4 linked regions of the Schizosaccharomyces pombe genome follow. The gene in region 4 interacts genetically with the main gene of each other region. Each region holds a gene or a part of one and is shown on either strand. Other genes may lie near its edges. The genes, in order: rog1, eca39, gmh4 and sac12.

Region 1 (6,431 bases), 500 kb from region 4:
AGGCCGAAAGGAAACCTTGTAGCCATGCATAGCATAGAAACGAGCTAGAGCGTCCTTCAATTGTTAGTTCTTTGTTTTTGCAAATCATATACCTGAATCGTGATGGTCAACGCATGACCGATATGCAATTTTCCAGTAATATTAGGAGGTGGGAGCAAGATGGGAAACATTGGAGCTTCTATGCTTTTAGGCTTGGGATAATGAATGTGTTTACGAATTATGTTCCAACCATCTTGGATCGCTGCCTATTTATTGAGTTATTAATACACGGTAGATAAATGAAATAAAGAAATAATACAATATCAAAGGGAGCTTCAATGTGTATATAGTTACGATTCTTAAAACTTAGTAACCCATGAGCTTTACGCGAAGAAAAAGAGCGTTGAAAATGAAACATAGAACTGTAACATGAAAACGAAGAATTATTTTTTGTAATTCAAGAAACAATATATGAACATAGAAGGGAGTCAGGAATGACCAATGCTGATAATGTTTAGAAGAGGCTAACTTTGCTCCGTTTGAGACGTTAAAGTGAAATACGAGCTCACTGTTCCTACCCATTGATGCTGCCAATTCGTATAATATGCTATATGAACCTACATCTAGTCAATTGCTTTGTGAACAAAGCTTGGTATATTGGCGATAGTAACAAACAAGCTAGTCGAAAATTTTTAACTAGTTTTTAATTCAGATTTCGATAGAGTAATCGCGTTAAATATATTTACCTGTCCAATAAAAAATTTCGATGAAAAAATGTTTTTTTTCTTTTCAATTATCTACAGAAAACTAATTAATTAATGCTTTGCGACTTAGCAAGAAGTTGTAATACGTGTTTAATGTACTGTAGTATCTAGGAAATTGAAAGTTATATGAAACAATAGATATTTATTTTAAAAAAGTTAAAGCGATTGGAAATCAAGATTTGAATGTATGATTAATTTTGTTTAGAAAAAAAAATGGGTTTTCTCTCAATGTCGCAGTGTCATCCTTGTGCAGGGGCCATGCTCTAAACAACGAGTTAGTATGACTCGAACCTTGGTAAATATTGTTACTTACAATCTTCTCTGTATCGTTTCAATTTGACCAAAGTGATCCGAAGATCATCAGAAAATAAAAATTGTATTATTTATAATTAAACTTATATTATAATTTTTTTTATAAATTGGTTTTATTATATAATTAATATTGCTTTAAAGCAAGTTCATTTTGTAAAATATATATAATAAACATTATTGGTATAAAAGCTCTGAGATTTACAGTATGCAGGAAAACAAAGCCGCCAAGAGCTACTTTGACTAAAATCGCGTGAATAATCTCGAAAATCTTTATTAAAAAGATTCTTTTATGCTTAATTAATGAATTTAAAATACAAATGTAAAAGCGTAATTGTAAATTTAAAATTGCTTCATTATCCCTCCGTGAAAAAGAAAAATATCAAATGATGTTTAAATCGTGCAACTTAACAGCCTTAATATAAAGTCGATAGTATTTTTTCTTTGAAGAATAATATTTTTTATATCATTGAACAGTCGTGTGCTTCATGGGATTTGACTAACGTGTATTGCTAACCAAATATTCATATTAATCCAACGATTGTTGATGACCCGAATAATTATCCAATATTAATAAACAATACATGCTTGCATGAATTGCCTATTATATTATTGTTTTAACTGGCCTAACTCTTTGGGCCTCATACAATTTCGCCACCCTCAGGAGAGGAATCCCTGTCCACAACAGGAATTGACTCATTCTTCGTATAGGAGGGTGAATTGCTTCTTTCTCTCCTTCTATGATAAGAATACCTTTCCCGTTCATCGTGTCTATTATAATCTCTTCTGGGTAATTCAGAACGCCTTGAGTAACTTTCATTACTACTCCGTCGTCTTTCTAATTCATCGTAGGAGGAATACGAATCGTAATGTCTTCTTCTATTTTCATTGTAATTGTCCACATGCCTTTTTGAATTTAATGATTTCCTCTCGGAATAACGCGGGTAATCATAATAATCATCGTCAACTGATGATCTCAAATCGTCTCTTTCTTCTAATCGCCCATCATCGTCATTTTTCGAGTGAAATCCTCTTGTTTCTTTTCTTTTCTGAGGTTGAAGAATGGATTCAAAATTTTTTCCTTTTTCAGTAGATTTTTGTAATTGCAATTCTTTAAGTAACTGTTCTCGATATTTTTGTACTAAAATTTCTACATCAGCTTCATCTAAAGATTTAGTTTTCGATTGTGATTGCTCATCTTTTATAATTGCTTTAGGTGGCTTCGGGTTTTCAGTCCCAAAATTTGTATTGGAATCAGATGCCGCTGCATCAGTGCTGTGTTGGGAACTGACCTCCTCCAACAACTGCTCTCTGTACAACAACAACTTCGACTCAATTTGTCGACGGCATTCATGCTCGCTTATTGAAGGATCTTGAACCCGTTTTTCCAGAGCTTTTGCATTTCGATTTGACTGTAGATTTGTATTTTTGTCATATTTTTTTACGTGAGACAGATTCCGCATTACGTATCCATTTGTTCCTGATCCTCTTGGAGTGGGTAATCCAATTCCATTATACGACTTTAATTGTTAGCAAAGGACTCAATTTTGGTGTCTTCTTCATTAAAGAAAGCTTTTTATGCATCTCTTACCATCTTGCTTTATTTCCCGTGAAGTCGTTCGATTTTTGCTTTTGCTCAAAAATTAGAAAAACTGAGTTTATATAGGTTCGTCGAACAGCTAGTCTAACAAAGGAATCGAGCGAACAAATTTTACCGGTAGGACACTGATAAATTCGCGTTACTTTTTACGTGATATGAGCAACTAGCGATTTACTAATTGAAACAGATAAAATTTTATCCCTATTCGTTGACCGGTATTGAAAAATAATTGATATCTCTCACCTTTCACGAATAGCTAATTTTCAGATTTACTAGTTTTTGAGTTGTCATCGCTTGACTTCTGACATTATGAATGTATATGTACAACGAGATGACGGTAAGTTACTTTAAACAAAATTTACCACTCCTTTAAATTGTATTTGCAAGTTGATATTATCAGCTCGTTATTTAAAGTTTCGATTTGTTATGCTTGTTTCGATGCAAAAATTTTGGGATGGCATATAAATATTTAATACTTGTTCTAACATTGGCATGGTACAGTTGGTTTAGGTCAAATACATCGATTTCGAATTTTTGTGCAGAGTGGGGGCAATTTGCATTCGGCAACGTCTTCTACAACTGTGCCCCCCACTGTGAACCTCAATTCAGTGACTAAGAAAGAGAGTGGTAGCATCGAGGATAGAGCAGGTTCAGGTGGGATGACAATCTCTAGTGGGGAGAATATCAGCAAGCAAATCTCAGAGAATAATAGTAGCACGAATCCGAAGCATGCAAATTCAGAATCCTCACCTCTTCTTTCCAGCGATTTTTCATCTTCTTCAAAAGATTATCATAAAGTTGGTGCGTTTACAGATAATACCAATGCAATCAACATACCTGAACAAACAAGAGGTGTCTCTCATACCTCTTCTTCTCCTTCTGTAGGTACTTCATTCTCTTCTATTAATCTTCGTGAAGTAAAAAATCCCTTGGCAGGAAGCGACTCTACAGCTCCCTTCATAAATTCGACTAACTCGGTACTTTGGATTCGTGTCAGGAATAGAGAAGCACGTTTCCGCCAGGCAGCCTATCTTCAAGGTCCATTTACATTATGCGTTAGCGTTTGGAATGACCAATTTTTTGATGAAAAAAATTCTTTATTAAACTTTGATCCTCAGGTACAGCCCTCTACTAGTTTTTGGGTCTGTGTACCTTATTCATGTTTTTCCAATCAGCAGCCTATTTACATTGAAATTGCAAGTCAGGCGATTTTTAAAGATAGATCTATTAACTTTGAGCTTGCTATATCGCAATCTCAACATTCCATTCGAGCCATGTCAGCTGCTGATATCGATACTCTTCATGCATTCCCTGCTCTACACGTTGAACATCAAACTCCGGAAAATTTATGGCGTCTTCCGTATTCTTCATTTCATTCAAAGAATTCACATTTGGTGGTGCTAACTCATGGAATGCATTCTAATGTTGGTGCTGATATGGAGTATTTAAAAGAAAAACTAATAGAATCATCAAAATCTGTTAAGGAACTAGTAGTTGTTCGAGGATTTACCGGTAACTACTGTCAGACTGAGAAAGGGGTTCGCTGGCTGGGTAAACGACTTGGTGAATGGCTGTTGGATATTACGGGCTGGGGAAGTGCATCTTTTCCTCGATATTCCCATATATCAGTTGTCGCCCACTCACTTGGTGGATTGGTTCAAACATATGCTGTTGGTTATGTACATGCAAAAACGCACGGTGCCTTTTTTCAGGCTATTCACCCTGTGTTTTTTGTAACTTTGGCAACTCCTTGGCTCGGTGTTGCTGGTGAACATCCTTCTTATATTGGTAAGGCTTTGTCCTATGGTATCATTGGTAAGACAGGACAAGACTTATCTTTAACTCCACTGAATCACTCCATTGAATCAAGACCTTTCCTTGTTTTGATGTCTGATCCTTCCACGCCTTTCTTTCAAGCTGTTTCGTTTTTTGAAAAAAGAATATTATTTGCAAATACTACCAATGACTATATCGTCCCTTTTGGAACTAGCGCAATGGAAGTTAGTTCTTTGGGTAAGGTAGAGGAAGCTGAGGGTTCAGATAAGGTTATGCCTACGCATATGGAAAATGGCATTTCACCAACACTAAAAGAAAATGAGCAAACAGTTCAAAGTGTCGGAGATAATGCAAAGAAAATCCATGCTTCTTCAGAAGAATCTGGATCTTCATTTTCTAAAGCTCTTAAATCCTTTGTAGGATTGTTCAGTTATTCGGCATCCAAAACTACAGATACTGAAATTCCATTAGTAAAAAATGAGGATGAAAATGCTAGGAAGCCTACTGAACCCAATTGTCTTGGCTCAGATGAATTAGATGTCTCAAATTCTTCAAACCAATTTTTTTGCTCAGCCCCTAAATTAGATCCAACTTCCACGTTTTCAGGAGTTGCACAACGAGTTGTCAACACTTTTACAAATTTGTTTATCCCAGCTGTTCCGACAGATTCTTACTTTTTTAAATATCATCTGCATAAAGTTGTTGTATCTGATAATGTCCATGATCCAGCTGCCTCTTTTTCTACTTTTGATGGAATTACTGAGCTAAACAACATGAATAATGGTTTTTTGTCTAACGAAATTACTATTGCCAAAAACTGGCATAGGCTTGCGTGGAGAAAGGTTGCTGTTAGACTCGATGGTGATGCGCACAATACCATGATTGTTCGTAGGCGGTTTCCGAATGCTTACGGTTGGACAGTGATTAAGCATCTAACTGAAATTTTGTTCGAGCAAAACACTTCAACAGCATATATGAACCCCATTTCTTTCGATGAAACAACAACCGCTGCCTGGCTTTCAGAAATTTATGAAGATAACTCAATATCAGTTTAAATACTCATACGTGTTAAGACATTCGTTTAAATTTAATGATACTGCATTTTTTTAGAGCATAATAATTTATAAGGTTAAAAGTAATTTATTTCTAACTGCGTATATAACGACTACAAAAATCGATAACCATTTCAAAGCATTTGAGGTAAACAAAAAGATTAAAGATAGTGTATTAAATCAAACGATTGAAGGGAATGCGAAAATCCGCATACCAATGTTGAAAGACAATATAACGTAAATTACTTGTGAGCCAAAGCAACACTGACACTTTGATTATCATCGTGGGAAATACTGACGGAAACACTCTTCACACCGGCGGTCGTTGCAGCCTTCGCAGCCTCTCCGTGCAAAACTACTTCAGGAGCACCAGACTCTGAAGAAATAATTTCGATATCCTTCAATGGAGCTGCAGCGCCTTTACCGGAAATACCCAAAGACTTAAAGACAGCCTCTTTGGCTGACCAACGTCCGGCAAAGCTAGCTTGGGGATTAGGAGCTGCAAAACAGTACTTTCGCTCGGTATCAGTAAAATTCCTTTCTATAAAGGTCTCATTATCAATGCTAATCGCTGATACAAGTTCAACATCCACGCCAACATTTTCATTGGAGTTGGTCAATGAGGTTGTTAGGCTTTGTAGAGTACGTGTAGTTTCGTTGGTTTTAGAAATGTCGGATTCAGCAGGCAGTGTGGCAGGGAAAGTCCAAGTGCCAGCTTTGCTCTTCGAAGCGCGTGCCAAAGGATTGAGATAAACGGCTTTCTCTTGTTCTTTGGTGTAAGGAGGAGAATCCTTGGCGCGGACCAAATTGTTGTAAACCAGCGCATCGTGGGTGTAACGATAAGATGCCTTATAACGAGCAGCAGTTTTAGCTTTGTAAGCATTATAAGTAGCCTCATCAATCACACCGTAAATGTAATCAGGATGGATAACTATAACTTGTCCACCAACT
Region 2 (4,970 bases), on a different chromosome or scaffold from region 4:
CATCCTTTGAGAATAAATTGTCTTTCTTTAAAGAAGTGATTATATTAAACTTTTCGTATTCGTCTCCAAGTTCAACGCTTACGGCGGTTTCTGTACCATAGTTAGATATATACTTTACTTGTACGTGATAAGCTTTATACCATTTGGGCCTATGCAAACGACATTTTGATTCATCTAAATGGTTAAAATAATGTTAAATTTATTTAATAACAAACCTCGGCCTCTTCTTCGTCCATTTCAATTAGTTCTTGAATACTAGAACTCTTCGTATGTTAGTACTTCTGTGTTCCAAGCAGTAGAAATTGACAATAAGGGTTAAAATCTTATTATTAACTTACTCCATTTTTTTTGTGTCCAAGGACATTCAGAGTAGCATTATTCAATGCATTCTGATGCATGGTTTTGAAATCCAACCTCGTATGGGTTAAGATCGTACTATAGCAGCAACAAGCCATCCAAGCAATGTAATTTCAACAGACCAATTCTAATGCTATATTTCAGTTATATGCATACTATTTTCTTTTTTTTACATATTTATATTCATTTGTTTATCTACTACTTCTTTATTTCGAGAAAAGACATAAAATTTATTAAGTCCATGAATTTTCTTGTCAACTCTGCACACTAGTAGAATGGAACTAACTGTTTCCACGATCAAATGTCGAGCCCAATCAATTACTTTTCTCTCATTTACCATGTAGCTTAGATAATTTTATTTACTATTACATTTTTACACTTTACTAGCCTAAATGAATAATAAACGATGTGTATTGAATAAATTTAATATATCTGTAGAATAACACTAATTGATGTTTACGCTAGTATTGAACAATTCATAAATACTCCGATTGATTTACAAATTTATATACAAGAAGACTATCCTTCTGTAATGTTATCAATAAAAGAATTGAAAAGGAAAAGTAACACGAATCAGAGAAACCAACAAAGATAAAAGGGATTAACCCTCGAAAGGTCTATATGTAATAATTATGGACACCTAATATCATAAATGTCTAAAGACAGACATAGTTAGGTATTTTTTGAGAATTAAATTTAAGGCAAAGCAGGAACGCTCCAAGGGTTGTTAGGTTCCTTGCCGTATTGGATATCCAAAATCCATTTGCTGATTTCAGAAGTGATGGGACCAGCTTCCTGACCCTCAGGCATGGGAATTTCATACTCAGTACCCTTGTAGTTAATAGCCTTGACGGGGGAAACAAGGGCAGCAGTACCAGCTCCAAAGACTTCCAAAAGGCGACCTTCCTTAGAAGCTTGAGCAACCTCTTTCATGGAATACTTGCCCTCAGTAATCTTCCAGCCTTTAGGTGCGAGACGTTCACGGCAAATTTCCAAAATAGAATCACGAGTGACACCAGGTAAGATCATACCGTCAAGAGGGGCAGTAATGATTTCTTTTTCGCCATTCTTGTTAATCCAAACAGTAAAGCAGTTCATAGTACCAACCTCAGTAATGTAGTCCTCGTCTCCATAAAGCCAGAGAATCTGAGCATACCCCTTCTTGGCAGCCTCTTTTTGAGGCAAAACACTAGGAGCATAGTTACCACCAAGCTTGTAGTGACCAGTACCGCCAGGCCAAGCACGAACGGATTCTTCGGAGCAACAAAGCTTAACGGCCTTGAAACCAGAGCTGTAGTAGGGGCCAACGGGAGAGGCAATAACATAAAGCATAGCGTTGTCACAATGGTGGACACCTAAGGCTTCATCAGTACCAATGAAAGTAGGACGAATGTACAAAGAGTAACCACGCTGATCAGGGACCCAACGGTTTTCGTGAGCGACGAACTTTCTGATAATTTCAGCAAGCTCAGCAGGGTCGAAGGAAGGAAGAGATATACGAGTACCAGTTGAAAGCATACGCTCAGCATTCTTGATGGGACGGAAAAGACGTGGGACACCCTTTTCGTCACGGAAAGCTTTCATGCCTTCAAAGCACTCAAAACCATAATGGAAAACGGAGGAAGCAGGGTGAAAGCAAAGTTTACCAAATGGAACGATCTCAGGAGTACTCCAACCCTTTTCTCTGTTCCATTTCATAATAAGCATATGATCAGTAAAATTCTCACCAAACTTCAAACTCTTCCATTCGGGCAAAGGTTTAAGCTCCTTAACATTAGTAACTTTTATATGGGAGCTATCCATGGGCTTTGGGCCATGGAGAGCAGCAGTTTGAACCATGGTACGAAGTTGTGTAGTGTTGAGGAAATTTTTACAAGCCTCAGAGCTTTGTTGAGAATAACCTACAGAGCCACGTTGAAGGGCAAAGCGAATATTTCTGCCTTTTATATTGCCCGCTCTCCTCAAAAACATTAAACTCATTTTTTCTTCTTCTTCGCCTGATACCGAAAAAGTTGGGGCTAGGTAAAATAAATAATAGCGTCTATCCAAACGGATCTAGAGACGGCCGAGATTAGATAGCTGATTGGTAACAACTACAGGGTGCTAAATGGACAAGTAGGTTTGTTAAAGAACCGAGATCAATAGTGATAAAGACTGACCACGTGGCCACCTTTAATCCTGAGTACCATTGGCATAGCTTTAGTAGTAATAGCATAAAGAAATTAGTTTGAACTCATAAAGGAAGCTAATTTATCGACATCAATTTTTATAATTATGATTTTGACACTCAAATTATTAAACCGATGTTGGAAATAAGCGATCATCGCCTAAAACGTATGTCAATTTTTTCCCTTTTTATATTGCGACAGGTGTAAATGAATTTTGAAGAAAATGAAAGGTTAGAAGGAATATTTTAGAAAACTAGGTTTCTTAACATTCTCGAAAAATGTTGGACATTTAGAACGCAGTTGAGATACATGTTTAAAAACTCTCTCAAAAGTTGCAAATGGCCTATTCTTTTAGCAATAAAAAAGCATTCGTTAAAACACTAGGAGTAGGAGTATAGATTTTCCCGTGCAATTTAATGAAGATTCATAGGTTTGAGATACGGTTATTTGGTAAAGTTGTGGGCAAAGAATATAGATTCTTACACATGCGGTAATCAGATGAGTTTGAAAATGCGCTGTTTGGTGTGATTACCATGTTTAATTATTGAAGATTTAATGCTTTGGTAATTCCGGATAGCTGGTTTTTCGCGAAAATGTTTGAAATCGGTGATTTTGGATAGTATCTTAAAAAATAAGAAAATTGTCAGAAGAAGCACCTTCTTACGCGAAGCCTTAGTTTTATCATTTGGAACATCTCATGGCAATGTTCATTTTGATTTATAGAGCTACAGATATTAAAGGGTTTAAAAAAAGGGATTGATTGATTCTTTTATCCGTGTAATGGAAAAGGAGGACTAGGGATTTTTTTTTTGGCAAATTACATGACTTTCAAATATTTTAAATGAATTCTATTAAACTTTTGTGTCGTTCGTGTGTGGTAAAAGGTGAGTTGTTGACGCCAAAAGGAATCGTTAATGTACGCGTTATATCTTGAGAAATGTTTAAGATTTATCCCGACCTATTAATATTAATGATTTGGAAAGGAATTACAAAAGCTACGGAGTCACTTGAAAGGCTTTGAAGTAAGTCGAATTGAAGAATTAGCTTCACCTAAAGGCGGTACGAGTGAAGGTTATAGATTTCGTACTAGGCATTTAAAACTATAAGTATTTCCTTTTTTGTTCAAACACTGACACAACTCGTTTATACTATGTCTCGTAAGTCTTTCTTGAATATATAAATGCTCACTTTCTGTTCGCTCTACTTTTCCTCCTTAATACCTAAGTCTTATACATAAGCTATTACTATAGTTAAAAATTATCTATATTATTCCTAAGGACCCAATTGTGTTAACAATAATATAAGATGCTAAGTCTAGTAGTAGACGGTAACGTTGGTGGAATGCGCCTGACATTGCGAGTTAAAATTAGCAATACCATTAGAGGTAGAATTAACACGAACCGAAGAATTCAAGTAAGCGCTCAACTCGCATAACCCATCTGAAGCACCACTAGGACCATAACCGCAATCAGTAAGGGGGTATACTTGCTGGTTGACGAGATGGCGTACATAGTATTTATTATCAGAACATAAGAAAAGTTCAGTAATTAAGTTTCCTGCGAAGGGAACGAACGAAGAGGTTTTTAATGAGTATGTAAAAATGTTTTTGTCAGTCGGTAGAGGGTGCTCAGGAGTAATGTCGGGGAAAAACCCAAGAGCAGCCTCGACTGGAATAATTTGAGAGTCGTGGGTAAACGCTAAGAATACCTTACGATCGGAAGCATTATTCACACCCTTACGAAGATTATTTGCAAGGTTATTAACATAAGCCCCACCTAATGTGGAAGCCCATTCTGAAGCGGGACCACCCCAATATGCGTAGTCAAGGTCACTGTCATATTCAAAATTCAAAAATTCAGAGGGAGTAAAGAGTGAACAGAAATCGCTGTTATCTCTGAGAGCGATCTCGTATACACAAATATAGTAAAGACTGCGAACATCCGAAACCGTAAGATTATAACCGCTATCAAAGTATTTGTTTAAGCGATTGGCGATAGGCTTGAGAAAAACATTACGCCAACTAGTATGGGCGGCTTCAGTAGTGTTTTCATCAATATTGTTGTCTTCATAAACGGGACAAGAGTAATACATAGCTAAGGAGTTTGCACCCGCAGAATCGTCTTCCGGAAGAACGATGAAGTTGGTTTTGTTCTGCATATCATCGCCAAACATTCCATAACTAAACCATTCTGCAGAGTCGACAACACGTTCTTGAGCAGCAGTATTGATATCGTAGACATCAGTGTCGAAAAGCTCATAGTAGCGCTCAAAAACTTGACGGCCCAAGTCAAAAAGTTCAATTCGACCGCTGCTGGACAACTGGTCGGCATTTTCAGCCTTTATCACAGGAGTCCAATGTTTAACGAAGTAAAGAGGATTTTCAGGATAGCTAAAATTTACCGGAATTGAGCCATTTAGAAGCTTGTTTTGAAAAATATCTATATA
Region 3 (5,333 bases), on a different chromosome or scaffold from region 4:
GTTCATGAGCGTCACCCTGAACTTTTGGTTGACATTCGTGGTATCTCTGAGGAGACCACCACTGGTGTTCACAACTTGTACAAAATGTTCAAGGAGAACAAGCTTAAGGTTCCTGCTATTAACGTTAACGACTCTGTTACCAAGTCCAAGTTTGACAATCTTTTTGGATGCAAGGAGTCCTTGGTGGATGGTATCAAGCGTGCCACTGATGTTATGATTGCTGGTAAAGTTGCTGTTGTTGCTGGTTTTGGTGATGTTGGTAAAGGTTGTTCAACTTCTCTTCGTAGCCAAGGTGCCCGTGTCATTGTCACTGAAGTCGATCCCATCAATGCCCTTCAAGCCGCTATGGACGGTTTCGAAGTCACCACTATGGAAGAGGCTGTTAAGGAAGGTCAAATCTTTGTTACCACCACTGGTTGCCGTGACATTATTCGTGGTGAGCACTTCAACGAAATGAAGGAGGACTCTATCGTTTGTAACATTGGTCATTTTGATGTCGAGATCGATGTCGCTTGGTTGAAGGCTAACGCTAAGGATGTTGTTAACATCAAGCCCCAGGTTGATCGTTATGAATTGAAGAACGGTCGTCATATCATTCTTTTAGCTGATGGTCGTCTCGTTAACCTTGGTTGTGCCACCGGACATCCCTCTTTTGTTATGTCCTGCTCTTTCACTAACCAGGTCCTTGCCCAAATCGCTTTGTGGACCGATAACACCAGCTATCCTCTTGGTGTTCATATGCTTCCCAAGAAGTTGGATGAGGAGGTTGCCCGTCTTCATTTGGGTAAACTCGGTGTCAAACTTACTACTTTGACTTCTGTTCAATCCGACTACTTGGGTATCCCTGTTGACGGTCCTTACAAGGCTGATCACTATCGTTACTAATCTATTCTTATCATTTAGTTTATAGAATTTATTTTGAAGTTATAATTACTTTAAAAATGTTTCAGCCTCTTTTTTTTGCATGAGTGATGTTTCAACAGCATCTATGTCTCTATGTCGCCATGAAATGCATTAATGTTATTCAACTGGGTTTATGTGGATTTCAGGTCAAACATAATAAATGTTTCTTTCTTTGCATAGAATAGCAATTAACGTGCTTTCATTAAGAAGATTTGATGAATATAACATATGAATTGCTTGACTTGTAAACCAATCTGCGATGTATTTCCGTAAACGAAAAACATATCTTCCCTTGATCAAACAAAGGAAATTAAGTATAAATTCATTAAATTAATGTAGGAATATGCAAACCACCGAATTTGAAAGATAGGTTTAGATGAAGATGAGTTACTGGAAATGAAAGTAAGATGCTAAGACAGTACTAACCTACGATTGTTCATCAACCGTTTCTTCCGAAAGCTGCTTTTTAATGGCTGGAAGTTTTCTCTGTTGATAGTAGTTGCTGGAAGTGTTAGTAAAAATACAAGAGACCAAGATGATAAATAGAATACATACTCGAATATACGCTCGCATGCAGCAGCGTTCTCACAGTCCTGAAGAATAACCAAGAAATCACCTTCTTCGTAATTCAAATCGACCGCAGAGTTGGTGTATGAATTTAAAACTTTAGGAGACACAAGTGCAACATGATCCAAGATAGTGTTATGTGCTTCCAATAAGTGGGATAGCGCAGATCGCTCAGCTTGATCAAAACCGGCGGATTTCAACAAAGGTTCATTCCAAGCATCTAAAAGAAATGGCGCAAAGTTGTTATTTTTAATAAGCAAAGAACGCGTACTAATTCCATTATAATCACTGGTGGTAATTACAAATACATCAGATGGATCCATTTTACGGCGTGTACGGATGTAGTTCTTTAATGGATCGATCGGAGAATTAAGAAGCAAATGCTGCGACAGTTTTTCTGGTTTCAAGACCCTATCCTTGAGAGATTCGGAAGGATTCATTATAACAGCCTTTGCATCGAGCAACCATATCCAGCCAGCGTCGGGATACTCAGCCAAAGTTTCCCTCAAAGCTGGGATAATACTCCAAGTACCATAGACACCATACCTCGCTTGAATATCGCGGGCTTTCTTGTGGACTAGGGTATAGCCATGACGCAAGGCATACTCTGTACGATCAGAAAGCACTTTATCCAGGAAGACAGAGCTGGAGTCAGATCTACTTGAATCATAATGGTCGTCAAAACTAACAATCAACATGACTACGGAATCAGGATCTTGTGGAGATGTTTTCGCCTTAGAAACACCTTTGTATGAAGAGGAATGGGCACTGGGAGAACCAATCGAATTGGAATAAACAGGCATTGAAGACTTTAAAGAATAAAAGCCAAAAAGCAATAAAACGATGGCCAAGAGACCTAAACTTTTTCCTCTACGAGAAAATAAACGAAAGTTGAACATCTTGCAGAATACAAAGTAAAAAAGTGCAAAACAAACAGTTTGCGAGAAAAAATGAGTTGGTTATGCGCGTCTATGGAACAAGATAACGGTTTAAAAGAATAAACCTTAGGGGTTTTTTAAATGTGCAAATAATGTAGAAAAGAAGGTAAGAGAATATCTGTAAATCGAGAAGGTATAAATAGAGAAGAGAAAAAAAGGTATAAAGATCTGGGTCGTAAAGAAAATGGAATATATATGGCCCTTTTTTAAATGCAAATAAATGATCCAACGATATATACGCGAGTATATCCGAAAATTAAAACAGTAAAGATGTTACAGAGGGCGTTTTCACTAAGAAATACGAAAAACCGGATAATGAAAGAAACCTTGCGAGAACACAACGCCTAGCTTTCAAAATGAGCCTTTTTGTCAAGCTATATCGGCGATATTTAAAAAAGAGGAAGATTCTACAATTTAAACAACAATAGATTATAGCTTATCCTGACAACAATCCTTTTACACCGTTTCAAAGACTACGAGTCAAGATGGACTGGTTATTGATATTGAATATGATTTTTACAGAAATCAGGATCCACCCAACCACGTACTAAGAGCAGAGAAACGTTGCTTTTATAATTGGCAGCAACTTGGCTGTATTTGTAGTCTGCGTGTTCGACATTCGAAGGATTTTGATTAACGTGTACGATGCATCCTACCTAACGTACTCTAACGTGTTTTTAGATTTTTTTAGTGATATTGAAATTATACTTTAAACTGTTATAGCGTTATACCCGGTGCTACTCATTATATAGCGAAAATCATAAAAGTAAATAGTAAATAGAGTAAGATTGAAGATGAATTGAATCAGAGTCGATGAACTTCTATTGACTTAAAAAATTATGTATGTAATTAATAAAATATCATCTTGTTTTTTCTACTAACAAATTTTTACAGCGGTTATATACAAGCTTCGGCGTGTATAGTTGGTTTATATAAATTGCAAGCAAAGTGTACACCATTTTTTTTATTATTTCCATATAAAGAAAAAAAAAAAAAAAAAAAAAGGGGATTCTATAGCCCTTTGGTATTTACGAAGACTCATTGATAGTTTAAATCGCACTCATTGAATGGCATTAAACACATTTGTTTGTTTGAATTTTTTTCATTGTTTATGAAGTACAGGATTTTTTTTTTTACCTATCAATAAAAGTATTGATATAAAATATCCCTTTACCTTGATCAATACTTCAAAAAAAATTTAAAATTAGTTTAATTATATTAAATGGACGGTTTTTAGCCTGGTAAATGAAATTCATGCCTTTACTCTTCACCAACTTTTTAAGACGTTAAAATTTTTATAAAAAGCCAAATCCTAATATTCTGTTTCCCAAGACAGCAAAAAGTAAATAAAATACTGCTACTTGGGCCATATTATTACTTCTCATTAATTGCTTACAGAAACTGCTATGGAAAAAGAAAGCGAAATACAAAGCTTACCACCAACGAGACGATATACGATATCTTTAGCATTACCTATTTCAAGTCTAAATGTAGCATACAATTTGCAGCTTAAAACGAGTTTTGTCTGGAAGGTTTGAAAGATTCGTTGTTGTCGCGTATTAACTCAAAATATAGATTTCGAGAATAGTTTCTCTATATGGTATTGACGAAATTATTTTGCTAGAGGACCCTGAATATGTGCAAAACACCCAGGTACATACACTTTCCTCTGATGCTTATTTAAAGGATCCCACAAAATTTCTCACGGACTTATTATGCTATTTCGAAACGCCTTTCTTTATGAGGAAGGAATTGTTTCCACTAAATCCACATCTAAAATATACTAGCTGCTTTCCATTACTTCCCCTCAGAAATGACAAGGCTAGCACAGTGAATATTGAATTCCCATACCGAGAGGGAATCGTTACTCATCCATCTCCGCAAGCAAAGAATAAATATATTATAAATGCTGGACTATCTCACAATGTAATCGTTTCCAGCCCCAGCGTCCTTGCTCCTAGAACAAGGGTCACGGTTCGATTAAAAGCGCAGTCTCCAAACGAAGAAGGCCAGCTTCAAGGTGATATCGTGTCTTTTTCAGCTCCACGAGAAAAAGGTGGTCATTATTGGGGTTACAAGGTGCGGTCATGTCTTTCTTCTCAGCTGTGTAAAAGTTCTCCTTACAAAGGTGGATATGACTTTGTTGTTCAAATCAACAGTCAGACTTCAGCTATTACTTCAAAAGAGTTAGAAGCGAGTTTACCAAGTTCGTTTCGGCATGCTGTTCTTGTTTTACAAGACAATGTCGTACAAAAAGAGCTCGTAGACTCCACTGCCAAAAGTATTTCTTTTAACCCATTCCCAGTTTCTTTTCTAAATGATCCCATTCCTGAAGAGATACTTTTGGCGGCCATGACCCGTTTGTCAGATATGTTGCTGATGCATGGACGACGATAAAGCCTAAATACTTACAAAGGTGAAGCTGTCTTTTTCTTACTTAAATATTATAAAGCTGTCTCGCTAATCAAGGAAAACAAAATCAATTTTGAATATGATAAATTATAAGGATAACTTGGGTATAAAGACGATATTAGAAACTAAGACGAGAATTATTATGATTAAAATTATATCTAAGAGTGTATTGTTGAAATAAAGAATAAAAAAATTTAAAAGATGATTCGAGTCAATGCAAAAAAGGGTAATTCTGTTGAAGACAAACTCCTATCGAGTGTACCTAGATAAGCAGCCATGTTTAAACACTCATAGAAGCAGGGTTTCCTGATCTCTTTTTAATAAGATTCTCCATAAAATATTCGCCAGCCTTATAGCTACTACGAACAAGTGGACCACTAGCCACGTATAAGAATCCTAATTTCTCTGCCACTTCTTTCCAATATTCAAACTTCTTAGGATGTACATACTCTTGCACTTTTAGGTGTCGTTTGGTAGGTCTCATATATTGACCAAAGGTAACGACATCTACAT
Region 4 (5,233 bases):
TTCCTTTCTCTTTTTATATATACATATTTTCAAAGTCTTAAATCGTTTATCAAGTAATTAGCAAGATGATGGGCACTCAACCATCTTACTCTATTCATACGCTTCGCGCGCCTCCTAAAGCGAAACAGAATCAAATTCCTCCCTCTACTACCCGTCGTGCAGTAAATGTTAATAAACTCGGCAGACAATTCCGTTATCCATCTGTGGGTATGTTTACTCCCGAAATGGCTAAACGCCTTGCAGCTCTCGTTAAGATGGAAAAGGATTTACTTCGATCTTATGAAAACGTTGCCATGGAGCGCAAAGAATGTGCCAATCAACTTTCGTATTGGGGTGAAGATTGCGATGATGATATTAGCGATATCAGTGATAAGCTTGGTGTACTTTTATATGAAATTGGCGAACTTGAGGAGCATATGGTAGACAGATACGATCAATATCGTGTTAGTCTGAAGACCATCCGTGATATTGAGGCTAGCGTTCAACCCACCCGTGTTAAGAAAGAAAAGCTACTTAACTCCATTTATGATGTTAGAAGCCGTGATCCTGAGTCCCCAAAGCTTATTACTATGGAACAGGAACTAGTTCGTGAGGAAGCTGCGTGTTTGGTTGCAGAAGCGCAGTTAACTAACATTACCCGCGAAAACTTTAAACGTGCTTTTACTCTTCATATTGGTACATTACTTGAGCATTCTGAAAAGGTTGCTATTCTTTGCGGGTATGCCAAGAAGATCCTCGATCTCCTGGACGATACTCCCATTGTTCCCGGTGAGCCTCGCCCTATTTACGATGGTTACAACATAACCCGTGACTATATTGTTGAGGCTGAACGTGAGTTGGCTAATTGGCAAAATCCTTTCCAAACTCCTGAACCCCTTACCGACATTGATGGTTTGCCTTCTCAAAGTCATTATCAAACACAATTTCAAGCTAGTGTCGTTCCTCGCACAGATGTAATCAATGAACCTCCACGCCGTTACTCTCATGCGAATGGTGTAACTACTTCCGGCACTACACACTCTTACACCTCTACAGGTAGTAAAAGATATTCTCAAATGGGTACAGAAGATTATCAACCTAGTTTTCAACCAAACATTCTTCAAAGCACCCAAGTTGTTGATAACTTTGAAATTGGCGAGGAGGATGATGAAGAAGTAGGATCTCAAGGCGTTGCTGAAACGTCTATGCCTAGCACTAGTGCACAACCTATTGCTGCTTAAGCAAGTCTTGGTGTGTATTCACGCGATTTCTGGTGATCCTTACGCATTCATCAATTGACGTGAATTTTTTGTCATGTCAATTCACATAATTTGCTAGCACGTGTTAAGCACTTGCTATTGCTACATATGCATGCTTATCGAACTAATACTCACGTTACTCTCATTACCATTGTTTTTGTGTCTATGTCGTTTAACCATATTTATTTTCCACCGAGTTTTATGTTTCGCAGATGTTGGTTTCTTAATTATCTTGTTTTTATTTAGTGTTTTTTTTTAATTCCTGCGGTCAAAATTAGGCTTAACAAGGTTGTTGGTTAAAGCAATTAATTAACAATGGAGATTATTTGTGTTGAAAAAGGATTTTATTAAATGTATGATTTTATAATTTTTACTTCTCAATCCGATTTAATAAAATATTTATGTAAAAATTGGCAGTTCGGTTGTATTAGTAAAAAGCAATACAACATAGATAGCAAATTCAACTGGGTCAGATCTTTAGTATATATTATTTAACAACGGTAAAAATATCAATAAAGCTTAATTAAAGCAAAACATATGCTTCCTTTCGAAGAGTTGGTTATCATATAACACCTAACTTTTATAGAAATTATGTATCAAAATATAAAGCGACATTGCCTATATGTTACTTGCAGTCAAAGAAGGCTCGTAAACTATTTTGATTATGCGATAGAGTATGGTATGTTTTCTGTGATATCTGAAAAACGCTACGATGAATTATTAATTATTTTTGCTACTCTCAAAATCAATAATATCATACAGTATTATGATTTTCGTTTGCCTATTCTTCGAATTATAGTTTGTAGTTCAGCCTTAATATAGGTAATTGGGGAGTATCAGCATCACCAGACGACCTATCTTGTAAAGCAAAGGTACAATGAATAGCGATACTTTACGTATCATTACATAGTGCAATGAGAATTGTTAATAATATCATACATTACACTGTCACTGAAAGTTCGTTTTGTAAAACGTGCTGCATAAACCTTCAGGTAACAATGAACTCGTTACTCAGGCGCTGCGTTGGAAATCAAGCCTTCAAAAATCGTTTCATGGACATTAAAGAGTTTGATTTGAATTTTTGTAAATATAGCATTCTCATTTTTTACTTTTGAGACCTAATTTGGAAAATACATTAGTCCGGGGTTCATTATAGCAGAAAAGCATCTACGCTTCTCAAATACAACAAAATAATGAATCAGGACGTTAGAGTATTTCCAGACAGCATTTATCTATCATGTTCCAAAAAAAAAGCTTCTCTTCGAATAGATAGAGTCGACGGATGCCTTAGTTTGAGCAATTCTCTTGATCTCAGCAAGACACCTGACTATAATAACGTTCAGTTATATGGATTTATTCGATTGAAAATATACAAATATGTAGTTCTTGTTACAAGTTGTGATTTGCATGCAGCAATTCTCGGAAACAATATTTATCGGGCAAGGAAATTTGCTATCTTCCCAATTACAAGGACTCTTCCATTCTCCACGGGTCTGCTAAATATTAAAGATGAGGAAGAACTACATTATATCAGTTTGCTCAATAAACATTTGTCAAAAGGCCAAATACTTTTTAGTCCAACGTTAGATCTAACCTGTTCCCTTCAAAGATTACGCGTACTAACCCAATCTTTTGAACTGACATCAAAATATAATTACCGCTTTTTTTGGAATAAATATGCATTTCATGAATTAATTGAATTGACGAATAAGGATTTAGGCTTTCAAGAATGGATTCAACCGATGATTCAGGGTAATATCGCCATTACTAACTCGTTTTTAAAGACTTATAACCTTAGACTGTGTGTTATTACACGACATTCTCCTGACTATGCGGGTACGCGGTATTTCACCAGAGGTGTAAACGCACAAGGAAGTGCTGCTAATTTTAATGAAATTGAACAAATAATAATGATCGAATCACCCATCACCCTTGAAGAACAAATGGTTCTTTCTTTTACTCAAATTCGAGGAAGTATCCCCATGTTCTGGGCCGAAGTTAATGATCTTCATTATCGACCTTTATTATCTTTACAACCTCTTGATTATAGCGAGACTGTGTTTGGGAAGCATTTTCAAGAACTTGCCAACGATTATGGGGACAATCTTGTGGTGGTCAATCTTCTAGACCAAAAAGGACGTGAAGCACCTCTACGGTCTGGGTTTGAAAAATTATGTAAACGAAATAAAAACCCTCCTTTGTCTTATGTTTACTACGATTATCATAAGCAAGGAAGTAGAAATCTCCCTTTGTTTCTTGCTGAAATTCAAAGTCTCTTGATAGAAGGAAAATATTATGCCGAGCATGGATCTAAAACTACTGCAATGCAAACCAACTTTGTAAGGACAAATTGTATGGATTGCTTAGATCGGACGAACGTCATTCAGACTAGCATTGCACAGTTTATTCTAAACATGCAATTACACGATATTGGTGTACTTTCTAGCTCTGAGAGTTTGGAAGAATATGATAGTTTTTTACAAGATTTTCGCTTAATATGGGCTAATACTGGAGATTATATCAGTGATCTCTACACTGGTACCCCGGCCTTAAAAGGCGATGTGACTCGCCATGGAACGAGAACCATTTTTGGAGCTTTCAAAGATTTATTAAACTGCTTTCGTAGATATATTCTTAACAATTTTTTTGACGGTATGCTGCAAGATAGCTATGATTTGGGTCTTGGAGTATTTCGTCCTTACGACTCACTTTCGATTCCGGACTTGCCTTTGCGTTTTCACTGGACTAGATTTGTGGCACCTGGAATTTTTTTGTTCACCACGATAATATTAACTATACAAGAATTATTTGGAAATCCAAGTCTGTTCTGTCGTCTGTTATATTCTATCCCTATGGTGAATGCTGGAATCTACCTATATTTTCATCGTAGACAATACGTTAATTGGCCTCGTCTAGTACTACCAACGTATGCTAAGGGAGGTTGGTTTTCGTTTCGTAATCATTTCCGAAATATTACTCTTAAAGTGTTTCGTTTTTTGCGTTCCGGCTCTTTCAAAAAAAGTGTCTAACTGTGCATTTCAATAACTAAAGAACAGTATTGCTATAACTCTTAATTAGCAGAAAACGCTCTTTGAACACTCGAAGTTCACTCTTTATTTCATTAGACTTCATAGATGTCAATCTTGCTACTGAACAAAGCGATGCTACCCAACTTTATCAAGTGACTAATTCAGATCATTTTACGTGATTGGTAATTGTAACTTTATTTTCTTTAATTGCTCCAAGCTTCCTACCAATATCAATTAGTAATTTAAGATTTTCATAATTGTTAGAGCCCTTAACAAACTATTGTAGTATGGATAACACACGAAAAAAATATAGCAGACAAAATTAATATTTCTAACTTTTATTAAGTCAGTGTTAAATATTGGGCAACTTTGACCATTGAATCACTGAGGCTTTTGACTCAAGTTTTACTCGGTTTTAAACAGTAAATGAAATATATGAAAAAGCCAAGCTTTCTTTCAATTTCATAAGTGTTGTTCATGTTCAATATTTAGGATACATACTTCTTCCAATTTAGGGGCATTCTGGTTTAATATTTTCAATGAACATGTTATAAAAATGAATTTTTTAAAAGATCATACAGTTCAGCAACGTTTTCTAATACTTCCAATCCAGAATCTTAATTCACAATTCACATTACTGAAAAAATGATGAAGTTATGCCTTACCCGACAGTTTTTGTATGAAAACTCCACAATATTACGAAAATGATTATATACACTTTTACAATCAGCTTAGCATAATTATGCTTATAGAAATGGAAATGCTCACACTTAATTTTGAATATTATTTTAATAGTGGATTTAACTACTCCTAGTACCAAGTCAAAGACTTGAGATCACTTAATGTAGCTTACGGAAGCGTAAACATCTCTCGCAATAATACTGCGTAACGAAGACCTGCAATTTAGTATATTAAGCTTGAACTTACACGTATACCCCTCTTGTTTATGTTAGCAGGAGTGCAATG

The links.
Region 1: mutations in sac12 (region 4) and rog1 together harm fitness more than expected from each alone (negative genetic interaction), as found in Schizosaccharomyces pombe (one large-scale study listed by BioGRID).
Region 2: mutations in sac12 (region 4) and eca39 together harm fitness more than expected from each alone (negative genetic interaction), as found in Schizosaccharomyces pombe (one large-scale study listed by BioGRID).
Region 3: mutations in sac12 (region 4) and gmh4 together harm fitness more than expected from each alone (negative genetic interaction), as found in Schizosaccharomyces pombe (one large-scale study listed by BioGRID).

What each region holds. Positions count from the first base shown.
Region 1 is NC_003424.3:2,561,318-2,567,748, forward strand, and holds rog1 (lipase), read left to right. Parts: upstream 1-2,572; 5' UTR 2,573-2,643; coding exon of another isoform or gene 2,644-2,646; 5' UTR 2,647-2,769; exon of another isoform or gene 2,770-2,839; 5' UTR 2,840-2,961; coding exon 2,962-2,989; intron 2,990-3,110; exon of another isoform or gene 3,111-3,153; coding exon 3,154-5,483; 3' UTR 5,484-5,553; downstream 5,554-6,431. Other genes in the region: vrs2 (valine--tRNA (Val) ligase Vrs2/Vas2), read right to left, coding at 1-54, 93-245, 299-397; protein Cwf21, read right to left, coding at 1,694-2,572, 2,644-2,646; fatty acid synthase alpha subunit Fas2, read right to left, coding at 5,723-6,431.
Region 2 is NC_003423.3:441,578-446,547, forward strand, and holds eca39 (branched chain amino acid aminotransferase Eca39), read right to left. Parts: upstream 2,360-4,970; 5' UTR 2,338-2,359; coding exon 1,054-2,337; 3' UTR 767-1,053; downstream 1-766. Other genes in the region: nucleoporin Nup107, read right to left, coding at 1-90, 141-174, 216-263, 339-398; thiamine-repressible acid phosphatase Pho4, read right to left, coding at 3,840-4,970. UniProt on the Schizosaccharomyces pombe protein: Catalyzes the first reaction in the catabolism of the essential branched chain amino acids leucine, isoleucine, and valine.
Region 3 is NC_003423.3:1,387,219-1,392,551, reverse strand, and holds gmh4 (alpha-1,2-galactosyltransferase Gmh4), read right to left. Parts: upstream 3,017-5,333; 5' UTR 2,370-3,016; coding exon 1,459-2,369; intron 1,406-1,458; coding exon 1,330-1,405; 3' UTR 886-1,329; downstream 1-885. Other genes in the region: SPOM_SPBC8D2.18C (adenosylhomocysteinase), read left to right, coding at 1-885; SPOM_SPBC8D2.16C (uncharacterized protein), read left to right, coding at 3,815-3,940, 3,984-4,805; lipoic acid synthetase Lip5, read right to left, coding at 5,101-5,333.
Region 4 is NC_003424.3:2,060,840-2,066,072, reverse strand, and holds sac12 (inositol polyphosphate phosphatase), read left to right. Parts: upstream 1-2,290; 5' UTR 2,291-2,431; coding exon 2,432-4,267; 3' UTR 4,268-4,500; downstream 4,501-5,233. Other genes in the region: eisosome BAR domain-containing protein Pil2, read left to right, coding at 69-1,220.